3 linked regions of the Oreochromis niloticus genome follow. The protein of the gene in region 2 purifies or fractionates together with the protein of the main gene of each other region. This does not show direct contact. Links are inferred from orthologs where the notes say so. Each region holds a gene or a part of one and is shown on either strand. Other genes may lie near its edges. The genes, in order: orc3, lrwd1 and orc4.

Region 1 (6,933 bases), on a different chromosome or scaffold from region 2:
ACACAAATTAAAAACATGCTAAGACACCTACTATCACTTTTTGCAGCTAAATAAGTGCTGCATTTGCACTTTAGACTCACACACGTGGATGATTGGAGAAAGAAACAAGTTTGAGTACCTTTTGAACGACGGCAGCTGTCTTATCCTGTCCAAGTTGGGTTTGCTGAGCTGTGTGACGTTGAACAGAGCCTGCTTTTTCTTGCAACACAGAACACTGAGAGGCTGAGAGTGAAAGTGCTCGAGCAGAGCCAGCTGCACAAGGACCAAACAGAAACTTTAAACTCACATATTTCTGTATTTGAATTACACTTCAGGCAAGAAAGCAGGGGGATGACAGACTTGCGGAGACTGTTAGAGGATGCTCCATACCTGCAGTCCCTTAATGAAGTTTCTCACTGAGAAATCATGGTAGAGGAAGACACCAATGAGGACCTGCATCACTTTCCCGTTGAGTTTAAAGTGAATGCGTGATGCCAGGATCAACTGAAATAATAAAAGAAAGAAAATTTAACTACTTTTATTTAATTTCTTTACATCCTCCAGGCCACTGATCGTCTACAGTTAGGGTTAGTGTGACCGCTATGGCTCAAAAAGAAATGTATCCTTTTTGAGGCACTGAAATGGAAAACAGAAACTATTGTTATAAATGTAGGACACTTCATAATAAATGTACCATCTAATTCCTGAAAACGTGCCTCTTTAACCAGAGGCTGCTCGTCTGTAACCTGGTGTTGTCAGGAGGTTTAAAATGCAACTTACACTCAGGAAACCGCTTTTAAAAAGAAGATGTTGGATATGCTTAAGTATGCAACAGTCTTCAGATTGGAAAGCTAACTGTACACATGGACTCATAGATATCAGGAAGGTTTTCCCGTCTGGAGGATTGCACAGATCAGTGTTTTTATGTTTTTTTATTCTTTGGTCAGGTTGAACTTACCTTGTCAATGACTGTAGCCAGGTGTTGTGTGCATGACAGTGACTGGAAAAGCTCGATGCACAGCAGGGAGGACACGGAGTGGGGAAGCATGTGCTGGATGGTACTGGGTGATGTAGCGATCCCAAAGATGAAGGTCAGCGGTAGGCGGTCAATGTACTGACTGTGGAGCAGAGTTTGTTTAGCAGAGACTTGCCCAGCTTGCAAATCCAAAATGCATTATCAATGATTTGTGTATTATCTGCAGCCCTAAAAATAAGAAAGCGATTCAACTCAAGAGTCTTCATTTACCTGCAGATGAGGATGAAGTCCTGAAGAACTCTTGGGTTAAAAGCCTCCAAATCTTTGAAAATGATTACAACAGGAGGCTGCTGCTGCTCATCTCTGACTTGAGAGCTACGTTTTTTCCCTGGAGTACCAGTGGGAGATTTCTGAAAAAAATAAAATCATATATGATACATATCACTTACAATCCAAGTCTCTGTATGCACGCCAGCAGTGGTTTGTGCTCCCACCTTTGTTCTTGCAGTGTACCAATCACAAAGTATCCCGAGAGAGCAGTGCATGCTCCTATGGACCCGAGGGCTCGTCTCCACATTCTCCTCCTCATCTTCATCATCCACAACCACAACTGTATCCATCAACCGTTCGAGCACCTTCTTCATCAAATGCTTCAGTGCTGAAATCATAAACCAAACACATACCATTTAAAGCAAAGCCTATGAGGGGAGCACAAAATGATTTCTGACTGATCTCGAAACCCCTTACCTCCACACTCTTTGGCCTGCACAGAGGCCACGTGAGGGCTGACAGACTGCTTTAGCATGTCAGACAGACTCTGAAAGGTCATGTCGTGATCTGGGACGTTCACACCTAGAGTGGACATTAAAGGAAGTTCAGATTAGGTAGAGATGACAGCATGTAATGTAAATGCCTCGTTTCTACTAAAAATCTACTAATACTACATCATATGTAGTTGTGAGAGTCATACATGTTTTTTAACTCAAACATCAGATATTACTGCCTCATAACCAACATACCGAGCATTAGAGCTGCTGTGGGGATTTCACTGGCCCTCATCTGTGATGTCCAGTCACTGTTTTGACGTGTAGAGGAGCATTTCCTCGTGAAGTCCAGCAAACTGTCCAAGATTGTCCTGTTGAGTTCATCTTGTAAAACCTAAGAAGCAAAAAAGTACATATGAATGTATAATGTATTTGTATGTAGAAGATACAAAAACGGTCTGCTCAGTAAAAATCAAACCATGACTAAATTAACGACTTTTTTAAAAAAAAAAAATCATATTAATAGAGTACTCCAGAGGCATCTCCTGCTTTTGTCACTATATATTCAATTTTACAACACTATAAAAGCACGCTTGCATATACAACATTAAAGCCATGTGTAGTATGAAGAGTCGTGCATAAATATGCATGTATACAATAAAAACTAGAGGCAGTTAACTGTTTTCTCAGTTTTATTAACTTTACTTTGAGCACATATTTTCTTCTTGGGACAGAAAAGTCTACTTTCTGGCCTTCCTGCTGAACATCTGTCCTCACCTCTGTGTCTGTTTTGATTTCGTCCCACAGTTCCTGACATAACCTGAATCGTATTTCACTGCTCTCAGCATCCTCGCATCCCTGAACGAAGTAACTCTCTGTGGCGAAAAAACATGACATCAGCAACTTAATACCACTAAATCCACCCGACAGCTCGGGAAGACAAATCTTGTATAAACACTCGCGTATCTCACCCAGACTGAGAGTCTTCTTCTTTTTCTTAGCGCTGGGCTTGAAAACAAAGCAGCCCTAAAAACGTTGACAAATAGTCTCATTTAACATTGTATGACGACTGCCAGTAAATTAATAAGTTTTAATCAAACATGCATGAAGCACAACATATATAAGACTTTACCTTTGACACGGATGAAGTAGCCATCTTTCGCTACACGGGTCCGCAGTGAATAGCCCGGCCTGTACCCTGAGCTGGAGGTCCTATGTGCATTTAAAATGACGGATGCCTGTAGCCTTGCTGGGTATCTACTTCCCGCCAAAGTGACGTATACGGAAAGGGTTGTGTTCAGCTGATAAACAGCTTCAAGCGTGAGTTCATACTTTTGTCAAGTTGTTTTAAGTTATGCAACCACAACCCACTTTTCAAAACTAACATTAAATTACACCAGATAAATAATTTAAAAGAAGGAACGAAAGCTTTTTTCCCGTTAGATCACTGCTGTTAACGCTTTCTAACATTGCTGATCTTGAACGTTCCCCCAAAGCATCTCCGGTGTCCCGTTACTGTCCTTCAGGTCCATTTTGCGTTACAGCTGGCAACTCTTAAAATAATGACGCAATAACAATCATAAAGCTCTATTACAGCCATTTAAGTCTCAAATCAGTGCATACCTACTTCTTCATATATATATATATAGTTTTTTTTAGCTGAGTTAATTCCCATTGTGCATTGTGTGGAGGAAATATGTCGCAATAAATTAAAGTTTTAGATAACCTTAAGAAAAAATATGTAAAAACAAGCCAAAAATGCATGCACAAGCCCCCTGAATGAACAGTATGTTTAATTATAGAAATAAGCTCAATATATTATTTTTTTTATGTTAAAATGTACTTTTCCATGAACTATGGAGGCTTATTTCTGCAAAAAAAGAAGAAGAAAAGCAAGCAGAGCTACGTCAATTTTCATCATATCGTTTCAAAATTTAGTTTCTGAGCAAGTTGAAATTGTGAAGTTTGAATGGGGGAAAATTTGAGAGAAAGAAACAAGCTTCCATAATATGTTTTAATATGCAAGTATGTTTTAATGCACTGATTTATTTATACTATTGACATTTTTCATGTCAGTATGCCCAATTTAAGGTGTTTTAAACTGACATTAGGTCTACAACTTTAGTTGTGTAGATTGCTGGCATTCCCTTTATGGAAAAAGTTTCAAAAACTGTACATTTTCCAGGCTCCTTTGGGAAGCTTTGTGTCCACAAATATGAAAAGTTTCCACATCTATTCAGTTACTCACAACAACCTTTTCCCACCATATTCCAAGTTTCCATATATTATATCATTTAAAACCGAATCATGTGCATAATTTCACAGCGGCATTGTGCGTAAACAAAGCTACTGTAAACTATATAAGTTAGAACAATAGAAAGTGTGCAGTCAGTATGTTATAAAAAGAACCAGTAACATTTTATTGAACACTTTGTGGAAGACATGTAAATATTACAGATAGGTCTACTAGTGTTGTAAAAGGATGAAATAAATACAAACAGAACTTGAAATCCCATAGGGATATATAAAAACATAGTTTTCTTTAAAAGTCTCCATTTAGCAAAAGAAAAAAAAACATCTTCAGTACTAAGCATAAATACAAACATGTTTCTAAAATCTATGCCCTATAGATTACCTGGTTATTATAACTAACATACATACTTAAAATCATCCGAGACGTTATTTCATTAGGTACAAAATAGGCCTTTTTTTTTCATTAAGTGTGACCATGACTGTTAACAGTTGGAAATTTGATGCATTAACAAACCATTCTGCAGCATAACTTCTCAAATCCTGAGTAAGACTGAGCTGAAAACAAAAAATATCGGGTTATGATCCGCTATAAATCCACTTTTTTATTATGACTATGGGCCGCATGTCTTGTAGCTGCTTTAGCAAAAGATCAGCGCCATCTGATAATGTTTTATCCATGACTATCTTAACATTACTCACTGATTGGAGATTGAGGGGGTTTCTGAAGTCTACAAGACTCTCACAACCTTTCAATTCATCAGCTGCTTTACTTTTGGTTGCAGATTTCTGTTTGTTAGTGTGTTGTCTTTTGGAAGGCAGTTCAGCACTAGATTTATCATTTAATTTGCGTTTGGAAGAGTTGGTCGACTCTGAGGTTTCCAAGAACTTAAGAAAGGAGTCCTCAAGTCCTAACGGCTTGAAAGACGCTGACATAACCCCGTCATCACGTTGTTCTTGGGCTGCAGGGGTACCAGGATTTGAGTTCTCTCTTGAACTGTTAACAGTCGTGCGGTTCCTAAGGGTTTGTATCCTCTCCGGACAAGCTGGTGTGGGATGTGCAGGTTTTCTGGGACGGCCTCTTTTAATTCCTCCTTCTGTCCCAGTGGAAGCTTGAGATTCTGCACTATCGTCGTTGGACAGCTTGCTGTCCTCTTGGACTATTTTTTCTACCGATTCATCAATTTTCTGGTCACTGGGCTTTTCAACTTCTTCTGGCTCCATGTCCTCAGAAGATGAAGCTGACGTGCCCTCTGCTTTGTTTGCATCTTTGCATCTGGCGCGTGAGTATTTTTTGCAGAAAATGAACTGGCTCCTCTGATCTTCAATGTATCTCTCTGTGAGGCCATGTGTGGTGTAATGCTTAAATATATTTCTTTCAGCAGACTCCACTGCATCGCAACCTATGATCATGCATGGGTACTGCAGCGAGGACTTCTTGGTGCACATGGCCGATGCTTCTTCGTGAGATTTTAGTGTAGGCTTTCCAAAACTAGTCCAGTGTTCAATGGACTTTCCATCTTTCTTTTTAGTGTTTTTCTTTTTCACTCTGAATTTGCTTTCTACGTTCTCTTTGCCATTGTTAACCCCTGGGAAGAGCCCTACCGATTTAGTCCTTCTTCCATCACTTATTTTGGGGTCATAAATATAGTCGTGCTTTTTGATGAGGTGACGGAGCAGGTTTGACTTTGTAGTGTACACTCGGTCACATCCATCGTACTCGCACCGGAAAGTTGGATCAACGGAGCCGCTCTCAGAAATGGCGATTTCCTTGTGGTAATTCTTAATGTGCTCAATGTATTTTTCCACAGAGCTGAAGGGGAGAGCACACTCTGGCCGGTCACAGTTAAAAGTTCCTATGCTCATACTGGCCATCATGGCGGTGGCTTTGTCACGGGTGAACTTGTGTAGTAAGAGGTAATGTTGCACCAGCCGTGTGATTCCCATGAACACCCTTGAGCAATTTTTCACTTGACACCTGACTTCATTATCTTTTTCTATGGTCTGATCGCTCTCCTGTCCGGTATTAACGCTGGTCTTTTCAGCTTCAGTTTCACCTTCAGTTTTGTTAGGGGGCAGGGATGCCTGATGCATGGCCTTGTAATGGAGTATCAAATTGTGCTGGATGGTGAATGCTGCAGTGCATCCCTCATGAACACAGCGATAAGGTCTGTACGGACTGTAGGCATTGTCTGCGTCAAACATTTTGAGGCTTAACCTCTTCTGAAGTTTCTCCTTTTTCTCCTCCTTTGTTGGTGTGCTTTTGGAGCTGCTGGGTTTTTCAGGAGACGATGAAGGAGATGAAGGCGGAGACTTTAGCTGTTTCACTTTGCTCGGGCTCACGGCTAATTTTCCTTGCGGCACTTTTGCTTTGCCAACGGGACTGAGTTTCTCTTTCAAACTGGATTTCAGTGTCATTTCTGGACTGTTGTTAATAACAGCCACTTTAGGTTCCTCTGGAGCTTTTTCAGGAGCAGGTTGTGCCACTTCCTCAAACGGCCTGTCAGTCAAGTAGTTTTGAGGTGATGGTAGTCGTGTAACAGTCAATACCTCAGAGGTCACGCTTTGCTTTGACACGTCTTCTGGAGTGATCTGAGGAACGTCTAGATTGTTGGCAGCGTCTGGTTGAGGTGCAATTGCAACATCAAGTGGTTCCTGTTTTATAGCAGGAGTTACAGGTGCAGACTTTGCTATCTGGCTGCTACTGACATCGGTGTTTGGACGTTTAATAACTGCATCAGCTTTGTTAAGTCTAAATGCACGTCTATTTCTAGCACTAATTCTAAGCTTCTGCATTTCTGCCTTTGACAATCGATGGACTTTTTCATAGTGAATTCTCAACCCTGTCGTTCTTGTAAATGTTTTTGGACAGATCTGACAAGGATATGGAGACAGTTTGGATGGCGTTCTTTTTAGTTCGTCTATCATCTCATTAGTATAATCGTGCATTTTACTCAAGTGTTT
Region 2 (7,095 bases):
GGGGAGGCAGAAGCTATTCTCCCAAAGAGCAGCAATCTAAAATAAACAGCAATAGTTAGGACAGCGATTACAGCCTGTGTGATGAAACGACGTATTGCCACATCTGTGCCAAAAATATCTTTGTTCAAAACAACAGCTGCTAAACATCATTTTTTGGTGCATGTTATGACTTTGTACAGTATCAAATGCAGGAACATTAACACCAATACCATGAAGTAGAGCAAAATAAGCCATTAGTTCCATACCCTGGTCCTCAGATTATCACTGTAGACATAACGCAAGTGGTTGGCAGAAGTACTGACATCTTTACCGCTGTAAATCCTCAGATTGGGCAGCAACACCATCAGCTTGTAAGTGTCACTCACCTGATAACCAAAAGAAACGTTAACAATTAAGTCAGTGTGGCGGCATTTTATGATGAAGGGACCTAAAAAATGACTGTGTGCAGTCTTTCTGTGAACGCTTTCCTTTCAAACGTACTGTACATTTGATGTGACTGTGCAAATGTGGAGGACACTGGAGATCACAGCAAAAAAGGAAACAAGTTTATAGTTCAGAATTATTATATAATTACTCATTCTGATTACTGAGCTGACAAAGATCTTATATATTTGTTGTGTACACTTTTGTGAGCTCAGACTGAACCTACCGGCTATTCGATCTTGTTTATGAGTGGCAGCCAATCAGAAGCAAAGGATGAAAATGAGCGGAAACCATTTTTAAAAGAATTTCTCTGCTAATAATACAGTTTTCATTGGGGTACTGGGATAATAGGAATGCAGGGATGTGTTTTGCTTTATCAAATGCATCACCTAGAAAAACAACCAGATCCTACAGAGTAGCAAGGATTTCCTTATTTCCATTTATGGTCTGCAGGATAGTGGGGGCTGAAACTGTGTCTCTTTCACAGTGGGGGAGAAAGGTTGGAACACAGTCTATCTTAGAGTTGACACAAAAGAGAGCCATTCACACCTACAGGACTTCATTTCACATCATCAGCATGTGTTTGTATTGCAGGTGATGCAGACAGAATACACAAACTCAGCAGACAAAGGCCTGAGCTGGCTGAGGAGTCAAACACAGGAATATTTTATTGTCATGACAACTGATGCAACGTGCTCCCTTGCAATGCTAACACTAATAATCAGCTGGTATGATCATTCAGCAATGTAGCCTGACTCAAATATTTCTCCATGAGCCAAGCCAGACAGCAGTAGGTGTAGAAGTATGTGATTTTATGAAATACTGATGACAAGTGTCAGTTATAACCTGTTCATGTATTTGCCATTTGTGCTGTAGCTGCAAAGAGTAACCCTAAAACAGGAGTGTAAGGAGAAAACAAAGCTATGTGCTCACAGTGATGTAGAGGTTGCCATCCATCCTCAGCTCTTCTACGTTGCTTAGGGAGTCCAGAGTGGTAACATCCTCGATCTGGTTGTCACTCAGGTCCAGGAAGCGAAGTGCAGGCAGCTCCAGGTTCTTGGGAAACTCCTGCAGCATGTTTCCAGAAAGATCTAACTTCTCCAGAGACTGGAGACGGGACAGCAGCTTGACAGGTAGATCCTGAAGCTTCAACCTCATCTTAGACAGACTGAAACACAAAGAGCACCAAAGTTAGTGTTTCCATGGGGTATGAAATAAAATTACATATGAAGCCGTTTAGTGATTATAGTATTACATCTATAATCATTTGTTTAAATATTATTGCATACACACAAATATCACAAAAGTATCAAAATATTTCCATTAATTCAATGTTTTATTCCAGTTTTTAAATAGCCAACTGCAAAATGTCTTTGAATATTAGGGCCTTATTGTTTATATGCACTCAGCATTGGCATAAATGTCATGGTCATTTAGGGCTTCATAATTTCCAGGGTGGAACGAATGGATACATTTTAATTACTTTAAAAAAAACAAGAATCATCATAAAAATACCATGACAAGCATGCCCATGATGAGTGGATGTAAACTTGTTACCACAACTGTAACTAAGCATTACCAGTTTACTTCAGTGCAACTTTAACAGCAAGACACCTACAGAGCATGATAAGGAGAAACAAAGTCCTTACTTCAAAGTCATGATTTGCTCCAGTTTGTTGGCTTTTGGAGAGGCTTTCTCCAGTAAAACTTTCTCAGTGATTTTTTCCATTGCTTATCTGCAGGAAGAAGCACAATTCAGGAGTGAAGATGGCAAACTGAAGATAGGGCTGAGATAAGTGTCCTCCTAGTTTATTTATATTGTCAATCCTGTTCTAATCACGCAACCAGAGCACCGCCCACATGGCCAAAACAAACTGACTACATCAAGGACTGAAACTCCGTAAAAGCTCTTTAAGAATATGATTAGATACAAACAATAGGATAAGAAAACATGAATTACAAACATGGTCTGTAACTGCTTTAGAAGGCCTGATTAGTAATCAGCACCACTGATCAGCTTCAAGAACAATGAAAATTCCTGTGGATGAGAAACGCTGTAGTACACACAAAGACTTAAACAAGTAGATTTGTGTTTAATATTATTACACAGATACTGTTTACAACTGAGCTTGTTCCACTTGTTTTAGCTGGTCTAATTACTCTTTTTTGGCATTTTTGGCATTTAGCAATTAAAATCCCCTCTTGCTCCTCAGCATGATTAATCTGTTAAAGAAATGGAAAATTTCCTCCAAAAACAGTTTACGATAAATAAGCGGCTATTCAACAATAACAGGCTAAATGCGATTTCATAACGCTCTATCCTTTAAGTAACGTTGTCATAACGTCTATATAGAGATCCATACTAAGGTGAGGAAGGATATTTCACGTAAAGAAGATGAGAAAGCGTTATATGATAATAAGTTTGAGTTTCTCCTAGCTAACCACGTTGGCAGTGCCGACAGCCGTATATATCTCTATATATTTACATTTCTCGGCTACAAACACAAATAACAATTATTGATTTAATTAGAGCAAGCGTTAGTGGTTTTGCTTTTGTTATTAAACAGCTTAAAACTTGTCAATATATGTGATTAATATCACTTACCAAACACTTGAGCGAACTCAAAACACTCTTGCTGAAACCGAGCTTTCCCGGGGAAACGTTACGTATATCCGGTGGGCGTGGTTTAAACAAGACATTGTTTTTTACAGCCTGGGTTTTGCTTGCCAGGGATTAACAACCTATGGCAATTGTACAATAACTTACTCATGGCCATTGATCAGTGTTCCTTGATCAGTGGGTTTTGGTCAGTGATTGTTGATCAATGGTCATGGGAATTTGCATAATTATGATTAAGGAACTGACCTCACAGCCCATTGTTCCTTCAGTGGGCTGGTTTCAGTCATTATGCAAATGTACTGTTTGTAAGGTTTGGGGAAACCTGCAGTCAGCTGAGACTGAAGAAGTCACTTGGATGAGTGACAAAACGTTTCTCCCACAAAATGCTACGTCCAGATGAACAGATTCAACTTTTGGAGAGGTACAATAACTTAGTTTTTATTATTATTACTTTTTTCATTTACGTTAAGCACATTGAGTTTACGTGTAATTAAAAGTGCTGTATGAATTAAATTGACATTGATTTAAAATTACATTATTTTAAGTTCTTTGGATCACAAAGAAGTGAAATACTATTGGCATTTCATTCCAAAAAGCCATCATCTGAATATTTTCTGCTTTTGTATAGTTCCAATGTTCCAAAACAAAAAAGGCAATATTCGTGTAATTTTTGAATGATTCAGTTGAAGTTGTGCCGTTAATCACCATGCAGAACATTTTCAGGATATGGTTCAAAAGAAAGGGTCTAGAACTGAAGAGTAGATTTTGCGGTCTGTAGCCCCTGAAATGCATTCATTCTGGCACTCCCAGTTTAGAGCAATGAACAATGAAGACTTTAACAGAACGGCAAGGAGGGGCAAGAGGTCTAGGCAGGGTGGCACTGAAGTATATGAAAATCTCCCATATGTAAACGGAGTCAACAAAATATCCACAAAAACACTTTAAAATGATTTATTGCATCATTATCTGTTCTAAGAAAACAAAGGCTATAAGAGGCTTTTGGAGTTGCCCCCAACTTTTTTAAGGCAGTCAGTCGTGAATGTTACTAGTGAACATTAACTAGTAATGTAGTTATGTTAATGGTTTTGGTTGTGAACCATAACTAGTTATGATACAAACACTACTTCCACTACTATGTTTTTTAAAATTATTATTAATATATATACATTTGTATTTTTTATATTCAGATATCAGTTTTCTTATTTGCTTCCTCCTTTAGCTCTGCTAACCCTGAAAATGCCCGCATTCTCCGCTAGCTGGCGATAGTTAAATGTTTTCGTTTGCTGCCACTTCCTGACACAAGAAGAAGATGCAGGATGATGGCTCCCGACACCAGTGACGACGTGCCTTCATGCGCTTGTAAAGGTGTCCGCCGGTGTCTCGTCTGCGAAGGGTTGAAAGAGAAAGTACAGCCGGAGGCGAGTGAATCAAAGGTACTGTTTTCCAACAGAAAACTGTTATATTGTTTTTATAACAAGTAAAAAAAATAATCAAATACTGCTAACAGCAGCGCACACAACAAGGTACGGGTGCCCTCGGAGGACATTCCATCCTTATTAAAGGGATATTACTGCGGTTATAAATGTGTGCCAACAGCGTTTGTCTTTATAACAAAAAGGCATTCACTACAAACTGTCAATTTCATCGCCAAAAATTATAATTCTAGGAATACATTTGCGTCACTGTATAAATAACGATGTTTTTCTGTTTATCTGTCTTTCTGTGAAGATTGTCCATCATTTCCTCTACGATCCTCAGTCGAGGCTCGCTGTTGGAAAAGATGCCCAGGCTGCATCCTTCCCCTTTTCTGGGGTCTTCCTGTGGGAGAACTTCATATCAGAAGAGGAAGAGAAGGAGCTTATATGTGCGATGGACCAGGATGTGTGGAAGGAGTCGCAGTCCGGTCGAAGAAAACAGGTTAGCATGTGATCAAATAAAAACAAACAAAACATTTTTGTTTAGACTATGATGAATAGAAGCGATTATTAGGGCTGTAAAGTCAATATAAGTGTCAGTCCGAGTTTACTCAGGTCATCAACATTGATTCACAGAGAGTTTGAGTCGTACCTCTCCATGCTGCCTTCAACACTGTTGATTGTTGATCGTGATATTTTAATTCAAAGGCTTCGTGATTCAGTTGGTTTAACTCGTTAGTTTCTCGATTGGGTTTCATCATGACTAAAGGGTAAATGTTTCTATGTGTCAGTTAATATTTTTAGAACTGCAGAAATAAACATTCTGTCATTGGTTACTTTTTAACCTTATCACTTAACTGATCTAACCTGTTCACAAATTATTAAGCTGCGTTGATGACATTAACTTGTGGATGTCTAGAATCTTTCTAGAAATGAATAGAGACAAGATAGAAAATCCAAAAAGTCAGAGACAGAGAAAATTTGTTCATATTTATTATCCCTTTCTGTGAAAAACGATGAACAAGTCAGGCACCTTGGGATCATTTTGGACTGTGGTCTCAGTTTTGATAATCATATTAATAAAATAGACAGAATTGCTTTCTGCTACTCAAAATATATATCAAAGGTTAGAAAATTCTTATCTCAAACTGACTCTGAAATTGGGCCATGCTTTCAGATCAAGCAGGTTAGATTACTGTAACACTCTTATTTTGTGGGTGGGACATGAGATGAATTACTACTGTTTTATATTGCCTTTAAATGTTGTAGAGCTACATAGCTTTTTTTATCTTTTATGGTAAGCATACTAAGTGTACCCATAATAAAATGTGCTATATAGATAACATTGTCGTCAATTCTATTTGATATATATAGTATGGAAAGTATATATACCGTAGTAATGGAGTGACCAAAAGCCTCCTCCAATATTGTTGCAGGACTTTGGCCCGAAGGTGAACTTCAAGAAAAGGAAAGTGCGTGTGGGTGGCTTCAGTGGACTCCCTGCTTTGAGCCATAAACTTGTGCTTCGGATGTATCAGGAATCAGCTCTAGCCGGCTTCCAGCCAGTGGAGCAGTGCAACCTGGATTATCATCCTGAGCGAGGTGCAGCCATCGATCCACACTTAGACGATTCTTGGCTGTGGGGGGAGCGCTTAGTCACCATTAACATGTTGTCAGACACTACACTCACCATGTCTCTGGAGCAGGGTCTGCCAGAGCTGGGACTAACAGGGGAGGTCCATGTAGCTGTGAACCTTCCTCGCAGATGTTTAGTAGTTTTATACGGCGAGGCACGGCATAAATGGAAACACGCCATTCACAGGAAGGACATTCATGTACGTAGAGTCTGCAGCACCTACAGAGAGCTATCTGCAGAGTTCCTGCCTGGAGGGCAGCAGGCAGACCTCGGAGCCCAGCTGTTGAATATCGCCTTGAACTTCCAAGGCTCTCCAGTTTAATCTAATTTGATGGATCCAGAGGGAGCTGCAATCTAAATCACTTGGACTTGTCTTAAACTGTAAAGATGTGTCCTTTGGACACCCTAGGGCTTGTTTGCTGGATCTGTGCCAGCTCCCCAAATAGTGAGCAGTGCTCACGAGGCTTGTGTGCATTAATTAGTTGAACATCTGCTGTGGTGCGAAGCCAAGCTGAAGTCGAATTGCTTTGGAAAAAATGTTGGGGGGAAATTGTGTTAAAATAGCTCCAATGTCATTATATTATTCCACCCCCACCCTCAGTGTTCTTTTTGTTTTATGACAAATGGAGAGAATAAAGCAATTTTTCCACGCACAGGGCGATCCGTGGTAACTCGCTAATGGAGATTTGCCGCGTTAATGTGGTTATGATGTTAACGTCATTTTAACGAGATTAACGCTGACAGCACTAATATAAATATATGTTTGTGTGTGTGTGTGTGTGTGTGTGTGTGTGTGTGCAGAGAGACTGACACAAACCTAATCTTTGACTTTGTGATGATAAGAACAAATCTTTGATGATAAATTGAATAGAGAATTATACACGTGTTGGGATTGAGGCTTTTTTTTTCTCTTTCAGAACTGCAATTATAATTGTTAAGATAAACATTTAACAGTAAAATATGACTTAAAACAAAATCAAATCTGATTGCAAAAGTGAATC
Region 3 (7,473 bases), on a different chromosome or scaffold from region 2:
AGCTTCACCTTTACACCAGCGTTCCACTCCTGAGCGAACTTCTTGTCAGGAAAGCTGTCCGGCAGGCTGAGTTGCGTCCAAACCCGTTCCAGGTACTGGGTGAAGTTGAGGCTGCTCAGCAGGTGGATCTGACGGTGGGAAAACCGCGACTTCACCCGCTTCTCCAGCAGCTCCAGAACATCCTGAATGGAAAAAGAATCACAACACGTATTAAAAACACCTACCATTATCTAAGTAGCGTTTCTGAGAGGTATTCTGAGGCCCACCAGTCTGCAGGTGACGCCAACCACGGCGATGGGAGCCTGGGCGGACTGTGAGACGTCAAACAGGTTGTAGAGCAGAGTCTGGTTCTTGTGGTGGGCGAATAAGTCGAACTCATCCAGGACAAACAACACTGGGCAGCTACTGCTGCGATTGCCTTTTAGGATTAAAAAACAAAACAAGAACAAAAAAAAACATCAAACCTGCCCCTCTAGTCTGAAATCAGCTTTAAATATTTGAATTTTCTCACCTTTTTTTAATGCCTCCAGGAGGAAAGCCAGATTTTCAGCAAAGCTTCCCTAAGGAAAAAAAAAAAAAAAAAAAAAAGGTAGAAAGATTTTTGTAGGAGTTTTCAGAGCTGAAAATGTTAATAACAGTCTCTCTTAATACTCACAAACACTTTGTCTCCAACAACGTTTTCCAGGTGGAGCTGTCTGGTTATTTCTTTCAGCGCTATTCTGTCATCAGTCTGCAGGAGACCTGCAGCAAACACACAAACCCATCCATCCAATTCAGATTTCCAGCAAACGTGTGGGTTCTTAAATTGTGAGGAATTTAAATGAGGTTTGGCACCATTGAGGTGAACCTGAAGAAGGTTCTTCTGCACCTTCTCCTCTTTCTGCAGGTCTCTCAGCACGCACTGCAGCAGCTTCAGGCACAAAAACACAAACCTCACAGGATTCACAACAAGTCCATACTTTTAAAAAATTATTTAAATTTAAAAAACACAAATTCATTTTTTCCACGGCTCACCGTCGTTTTCCCTGCTCCTCTGGGACCCACGATTAGCACAGAATTACTCTCCCCGTGGATCGCCGTCCGCCTCAGCAGCTCCAGGAGGTGTCTGCAAACACAATGGCTTTAACTACAATACCCACAATGCTTAGTAAAATTTACACCCCCATCTCCTGCTTCTAATGAGTGGAAATCTCTCACTGGGGAAGCTCGTGTTGTGGCCGAGTCGGCCAGGAAACTGGGACAGAGCTGTCACCCAGGTGCGACTGAACTGGGTCACTGAAACTCACACCGAGCTCCAGGTCTGCTCTTAATTATAGATGACAGTTCTACTACAGGCCTTCTAAACCATCCAACACCTGTAGGAACTGAAGCCGAAACAAAAACAAACACCCTTCACAGCTTATTTGCCTTTCCCAAACACTTAGGACAAATTATTCATGGTTTTATTTTCACAAGGCCAGATTACAACAGATTCCTCCTCTCCTGTATAAACAGTAAGGTTGGAATGGCCTCGAACTTTTAACCTTTTACTGATCACTAGTAAAGGTACCTTTCATAATTACACCCTACATACTGTTACTATACGTTTCACCACAGTGGGCAGTGTTTTACCAGTCAGTGTGTTTTCACATTTTTAAGCCTCTTTCCAGACCTCCACTTTAAACAAGAATGTGTTTTCAAAGGACAACCATAACGAAGTCACAATGCGCACACACACACACACAGACACAAACACACAGCTTTGACAGCGCCAGAAACGCCCCGAGGATTAAAACAGGCCGATCCGGTTGAAGCTATGAGGCAGGAACCTGTGCCAGTCATTTCTCCAGTTTCTTTTCTCGCACTGATTGTCTTGTTTCTTATTTTAATATCCAACTTTGTTTGAATTTAACGTTCTGATTTTCTCCGTGATTTTCTTGTTGACATTATTATAAAATCACCTCTATCCACAGGCCCTGCTGTTATGAACTTACTTGTACTGAGCTTCTACTCCCTCTAGTCTGTCAGGGAGCCGCCTCTCACAAAATCGCTCCCTTAAAATCTGCTGAACCTGCACAGAAACATGTATTATAAATAAACTACATTTTATTAGGTATATTTCAGAGTATGACACTGAAAAACTCACTGGCTGTTCATACACACACCTGTTTGATGCATTCCCCTACAGGCAGATGAGCATCTCTGGCCTTCCTCTTACTCATGATGATGTGACTGTCAACTGCAAAATGTGAAAAAGTGGGAAAACAGGTCAACTTCAACATGCCACTAAATTCATTTATCAGGGGGATAATACTGACACTTTACATTGCCGTTAGGTGTCAATTAAATGCACCAACATGGTGGAAACAACGGTTTTAATTCCAATAAATAACACCTTTTTTTTTTTTAGTTTAAGCCAAATGTAAGACTAATAATCACCAAAACGAAATCACATCGCTTCAGGACATGTTTACAGTTGTGCTGTAACCAATGTTAGGGTCGATAACAGGTGAAGATAAAACAATTTAATTCGGTATACAGCTGATGCAACAATAACACTCTATCTCATAGCTGCCTTTGACTGCTTAACTTACAATTTGGTCAAAAAATGAATGTCTAAATAGATTTTATGTATGCCGAATTAGAAAGCGACTCATAAGTGTGAGAATCCGTCTCGGGCTGCATTCAAGGCTGAGATCATATCCGCCGACAAGTCAGGAGAACACAAAATTGGCATTTTTACAACAGAACCTCGGTGCTACACGCTTGCGACGCAACCCAGGGCTTTACTCGAAGATCTGCTCGCTAAAAGCGTGCTGAAGAAGCACGAATGTTTTCCATTTCTAACTTTGATTACTTCTACCGTTGTGTAAGACAGGTGTCAGCTAGTCGAGCTTCTTTTCACACACACATCAGAACAAACATACCGGGAGCAACGATGAGACGCCTCAATCTTCGCGGGAATACTCCTCTGCCAGCGATGACGACTTCCGGCTTTGACTATATCTGCTCTCTGATTGGCTGTGACTCAGAGCAGCGCTGTGGTTGTGGAATTATATTATTCACACACATACGCACAAATAAAATAATAACAAATAAAAAATGATTTAAAAGAAAAACATGACATATGATAATGTGCAAAAGTCAACAATTGTGTTTTTTTATATTTTGTTACCAAGTAGACAGACTTTGTTCTATTGTTTTCAAAGTGGTCTTGAGCAGTAGTTCTTGAGGCTTCCTGAATGTCTTTGAACGTTTTTCTTTGGATATCGGCTGCTTTTTCACTTATTTTCTGCTCAGTCCTTGTCCCTGGCCAATCTTTTGCTGGTTAAACCACTATGAATCATTGAAGCGTAAAAAAGACAACCACAACCACAAAAACACATCATTTGTTCTAATGTCTTTAGTTGGATCTATGAAAAATGTCAAAGATTACACAGTTTGACAGACATTAAACAGTATTTTTTGTACTAACAAACGTGATTCCTAAAAGCTATTAGCTGAAAACTTGGCATAGCACAACATGGTGTGCAGTCTGCCCTCAAAAAAATCTGAGGAAGCTGGAGAAGTGGAGGGCTAAAGAGCTGTCAGCCTTCAAAAACCATCTACATCAGATGAACAGTATCTGAAAATCATGTCCTTAAAAAACATGAAAGAATCCAGTAAAGAGCTGACACAGAACCATCTACTGTTCACTGAAGCCTCATCAGAAATGGGCTCAAGTAGAGATTTAGATTTGAAGCTATGTAAGCACAAAGCTATTCAAATATGTCAATACTATTAACATAAATCCACAACAATTTAAGTCACGTTGTGATTTAATAAAAGTATTAGCAGTAAAGAAGACATTGCACAGAGGTTATATTTGAATTTGAATATTTGAATAACCCATTCAGGTGTGTACAGACTTTTGAACTTGTTTAAAAAATATATAAATTAAAATGACAAAATATTATTTTATTTTCAATTTCAATTTCAAATACAATATTTTTAATTTGTTATTATAACAAATGACACATCCTTGTCTTGAGGGCAAAAGTTAAAAACAATGTGTCTTTTTATGCTTTTTATGAATTTTACATGAATAGGATTTTATTTGTTGAATTTTATATACATTTTATTCTTGAATTTGATCCTGCGCATTTCCGTTCTACAGCATTTACTGGCTATGAAATGAAAACAATATGATATTATATATAATATATTATTCACAATTCAAGTTTTGTAGATTACATTTTATGTTATTTTTGTGAAATTAAAATAACAGGATGCTCTTAAGAGATTTTACATCTGCATAAATGCTAAAAACAAGTCATTTTGGCCAGTTGCTATAGGTGGTTGCTAGGCAACATGATGGCATCATAACATTTGACATAGATAAGAACCTTCAGGTGCCTAAGACATACTTGTGTGCCAAGTTTGGTTGCGCTGCTTGTGATCATGTAGGAGGAGTTGGTAGACAAAGAAATGAACACACAGATTTTCTGTGTTATAGTAAGATATATAAGAAATAGTCTGTCGGCACTGAGAAAGACTACAATTATGTGTAATTATATATACGTTTATTTGTGAAACTATAACAGCCACTTCTGCTCTGGTTTGATAAAATTAGGAGGGATGGCTCATGTGAATGGCTAAAAGGCCGCCTGCATAACAGCATCTTTTACTCACTGAAGCTCTGGAGACACTTAAACGCTTCCTGCGGCTTTTTGGTTGACTGATGAAAAGGAAAAAAAAAAGACACAGCAAACCGCCAGATATCTCGCAAATCGTCTCCCGCTCTCCGCTCACATTTAGCCTGTCACATTATTCTAAAATACGACCCTCCGCTCGCACATTCAGCCCTCTGTGTTTGCCCTTAAAAATACATGAAGCGCTCCTTCCTTCAGCAGCCCTACGCTGAATTCATTTAACGTCTCCTCGGGTTTGACCTTCACACAAAATTCAGGCGTTTGCACCCTGAGCTGCATCTCGTCCTCGCTTCAGACGGCTGAGCTCATGTTTTCTTCAGCTTTTATGACCTTTATTTATCTCAGGAAATTATTTTGCTGAGTGTCTGTTTTTGCTCCACTGCAACTTTGTGTTGTATTTTTGTAGTTTTTGTGCGCGCAGCCAGTCAAAATTAACCTTAATGAGTGTCATCTTGTTCATAAATATGAATAGTTTAGTTTCTGCTAAAAGATGTTCTTGTAATTAATCATTATCATTGCAGTTTGTAGCTTATGGTGTTAAACGCTTATCAAATTACACTTCATATACAGTATTTAACAAAGTACCTGTAAGGTACTAGCAAAATAACTGGTAATGGGATTGTTTTTAATTAGATGGTGACTTTTTTTCTAACCCTGTGAGTCCACATATTCTGAGTTTCAGTATGTAGCCATTGGCTTCTGATCATTTTAGTACATTGTGCTTAATATGTAAAGACCACCTTTTATTTTTGACAAAGTAAGACATGGTAATGATAACGTTACAAAAGTTAAAACTTCTGTAAGGGGTCTTTATGTAAGCTTACCTTCTGCAACAATGACCCTTCCCCCTACCCCCAAAAAAGGAAAAGGAAAAAAAAAAGTTGTACTAAATTAATTTCCTGTCACTTTTTCTACCTTTTAGAATTAATCAAAGTCATTATTCGGCATTAACTCAAACTATTTTGCAGATCAAGTCAGCAGAACTTAAAGATCACTGTGTTCATTTCTACTGTTTCTGATGTGAGCCAGTCATGTCCTCCTGTGAACCAGCCTATTCATTTATGTCCTCTGTAATGGACATTTGTTTTTGGTTTATATCTTTTGAGTGATTTGAGATTCTTAAAGTCCTGATGTACTAAATAAAGGACATCCTAGGCTTTCCACTGATATCTCATGTGTTTGAGTGGCCTCTTTTAGCTCCAAAGAGGAAAGGACTCACACATATCCTTTTGCCTTGTCTTGATTCTGCCTTGCACAGATTCAAAAAGGTGATGGAATTGTTCCTCTGAGATTTTGGTCCATGATGACATGACAGTATCACACATTTGCTGCAGATTTGTTGGCTGCACATCCATGACATGAATCTGCTGTTCCACCACATCCCAAAGGGGCTCTACTGGATTGAGATCCGGTGACTGTGGAGGCCATCTGAGTACAGTGAACTCAGTGAACTCATTGTCATGTTCAAGAAACCAGGTTGTGATGATCTGAGCTTTGTGACATGGTGTGTTATTATGCTGAAAGCAGCCATCAGAAGATGGTACACTGTGATCATAAAGGGATGGACATGCTCAGCAACAACGCTCAGGTAGGCTGTAGAGTTTCAATGATGCTCAGGTGGTACTAAGGACCAAAAGAGTGCCAAGAAAATATTCCCCACACCGTTACACATCCAACACCAGCCTGAACTGTTGATACAAGGCAGGATGGAGCCATGCTTCATGTTGTTTACACCAAATTCTGGCTTGATCCTGAATTGTATTAGTGTAAGAAAGTGGATGGATGTAATCAAAGTATACAGAAGAGCATCTCTGAACAGGCAACATACTGAATGTTGATGGAGATGGTCTACAGCAGCAGAAGATCATAGCAGGTGACACTGCTAAGAACAGGAAACTGAGGTTACAGCTCATCAGAAATGACCACAGCCTACCCATCTTCCGTCAAAGACAAAGTGCAGCCTGTCGGTCCTCGCCTAAACTCAGTTAATTAGACTTAACCAACTAACCTAACCCCATACCTGTTTTTGGACTTTGAAGAAAGGAGTTTGCATCTAGTCCAGTGGATGAATCCAACCTAGGAGCCTCTTGTGAGGTGACAGTGCTGATGACTGCACTGCCATGGCAGCCTTCCTTGGTTATAACAAGTGTCTTGTCGTGCTTGTTATATTGATTATTGTTTGAAATTGTCTAGTTTTAGTTGAATTTTTAGTAGTTTCAGTTTTGCTTTGCAAAGTCAGCTGACTTGACATCTTGATACCCAATAAACATCTCCATGAAAGCCTCGTTGGGGTGTTTGTGTTGTGAATGCGTCCAAACTGACAGAAAGAGTGAAAACTGTATATGAAATTTATATAACTAATTGTTAAGGTTTGTTTTAGTACTTAATATAATCATGCCACAGTCATACAGTGTTATTACTAACAAGTTGCCTCTAAGTCATTTTTCTGCAAGTAAATTCAACATTATTTATTTGTAATACAAAAAATCAGACGTTTTTAATAGGATTTGTGTGTGTGCACACATCACCATCCTGTCTGTAAACACAATAACTTCAAAAGTTGTGAATGAATTCTGATAAAACGTTGTATGAGTGTAGAGTGGGGTCATGTTAACAATCCACTCAAATTTGGCTTACATCCACCAAGGTTTTCAAGGTCAACTCAATGATGTATTGGTGGAAAATTGACTAAAAGCCTTATAACTTTGAAACTATGATGTGTAGTGTCAATCTAGTCAACATATATTACTAGTTTTATTAATGAATATTCAATAATCATCAATTTGATTTGATTTTATGACTT

What was found.
Region 1: the proteins of lrwd1 (region 2) and orc3 purify together in Homo sapiens (affinity purification with mass spectrometry; 4 studies listed by BioGRID and IntAct, with this or other methods). This does not show direct contact. The link is inferred for Oreochromis niloticus from reciprocal best matches to the Homo sapiens genes LRWD1 and ORC3.
Region 3: the proteins of lrwd1 (region 2) and orc4 purify together in Homo sapiens (affinity purification with mass spectrometry; 3 studies listed by BioGRID and IntAct, with this or other methods). This does not show direct contact. The link is inferred for Oreochromis niloticus from reciprocal best matches to the Homo sapiens genes LRWD1 and ORC4.

Annotation. Positions count from the first base shown.
Region 1 is NC_031983.2:13,549,186-13,556,118, reverse strand, and holds the start of orc3 (origin recognition complex subunit 3), read right to left. Parts: upstream 3,006-6,933; 5' UTR 2,876-3,005; coding exon 2,852-2,875; intron 2,746-2,851; coding exon 2,691-2,745; intron 2,595-2,690; coding exon 2,497-2,594; intron 2,114-2,496; coding exon 1,975-2,113; intron 1,808-1,974; coding exon 1,703-1,807; intron 1,614-1,702; coding exon 1,450-1,613; intron 1,366-1,449; coding exon 1,226-1,365; intron 1,098-1,225; coding exon 938-1,097; intron 484-937; coding exon 370-483; intron 253-369; coding exon 119-252; intron 1-118. Other genes in the region: znf292a (zinc finger protein 292a), read right to left, coding at 4,549-6,933. UniProt on the Homo sapiens protein: Component of the origin recognition complex (ORC) that binds origins of replication. DNA-binding is ATP-dependent. The specific DNA sequences that define origins of replication have not been identified yet.
Region 2 is NC_031975.2:24,535,809-24,542,903, reverse strand, and holds the start of lrwd1 (leucine-rich repeat and WD repeat-containing protein 1), read right to left. Parts: upstream 3,111-7,095; 5' UTR 3,029-3,110; intron 3,020-3,028; exon of another isoform or gene 2,166-3,019; intron 2,160-2,165; 5' UTR 2,153-2,159; coding exon 2,073-2,152; intron 1,592-2,072; coding exon 1,357-1,591; intron 366-1,356; coding exon 246-365; intron 37-245; coding exon 1-36. Other genes in the region: alkbh4 (alpha-ketoglutarate-dependent dioxygenase alkB homolog 4), read left to right, coding at 4,360-4,476, 4,772-4,960, 5,895-6,416. UniProt on the Homo sapiens protein: Required for G1/S transition. Recruits and stabilizes the origin recognition complex (ORC) onto chromatin during G1 to establish pre-replication complex (preRC) and to heterochromatic sites in post-replicated cells.
Region 3 is NC_031986.2:18,203,499-18,210,971, reverse strand, and holds the start of orc4 (origin recognition complex subunit 4), read right to left. Parts: upstream 3,030-7,473; 5' UTR 2,907-3,029; exon of another isoform or gene 2,837-2,906; intron 2,831-2,836; exon of another isoform or gene 2,574-2,830; intron 2,219-2,573; 5' UTR 2,202-2,218; coding exon 2,145-2,201; intron 2,051-2,144; coding exon 1,974-2,050; intron 1,106-1,973; coding exon 1,015-1,105; intron 911-1,014; coding exon 835-910; intron 742-834; coding exon 656-741; intron 561-655; coding exon 512-560; intron 419-511; coding exon 267-418; intron 183-266; coding exon 9-182; intron 1-8. UniProt on the Homo sapiens protein: Component of the origin recognition complex (ORC) that binds origins of replication. DNA-binding is ATP-dependent. The specific DNA sequences that define origins of replication have not been identified yet.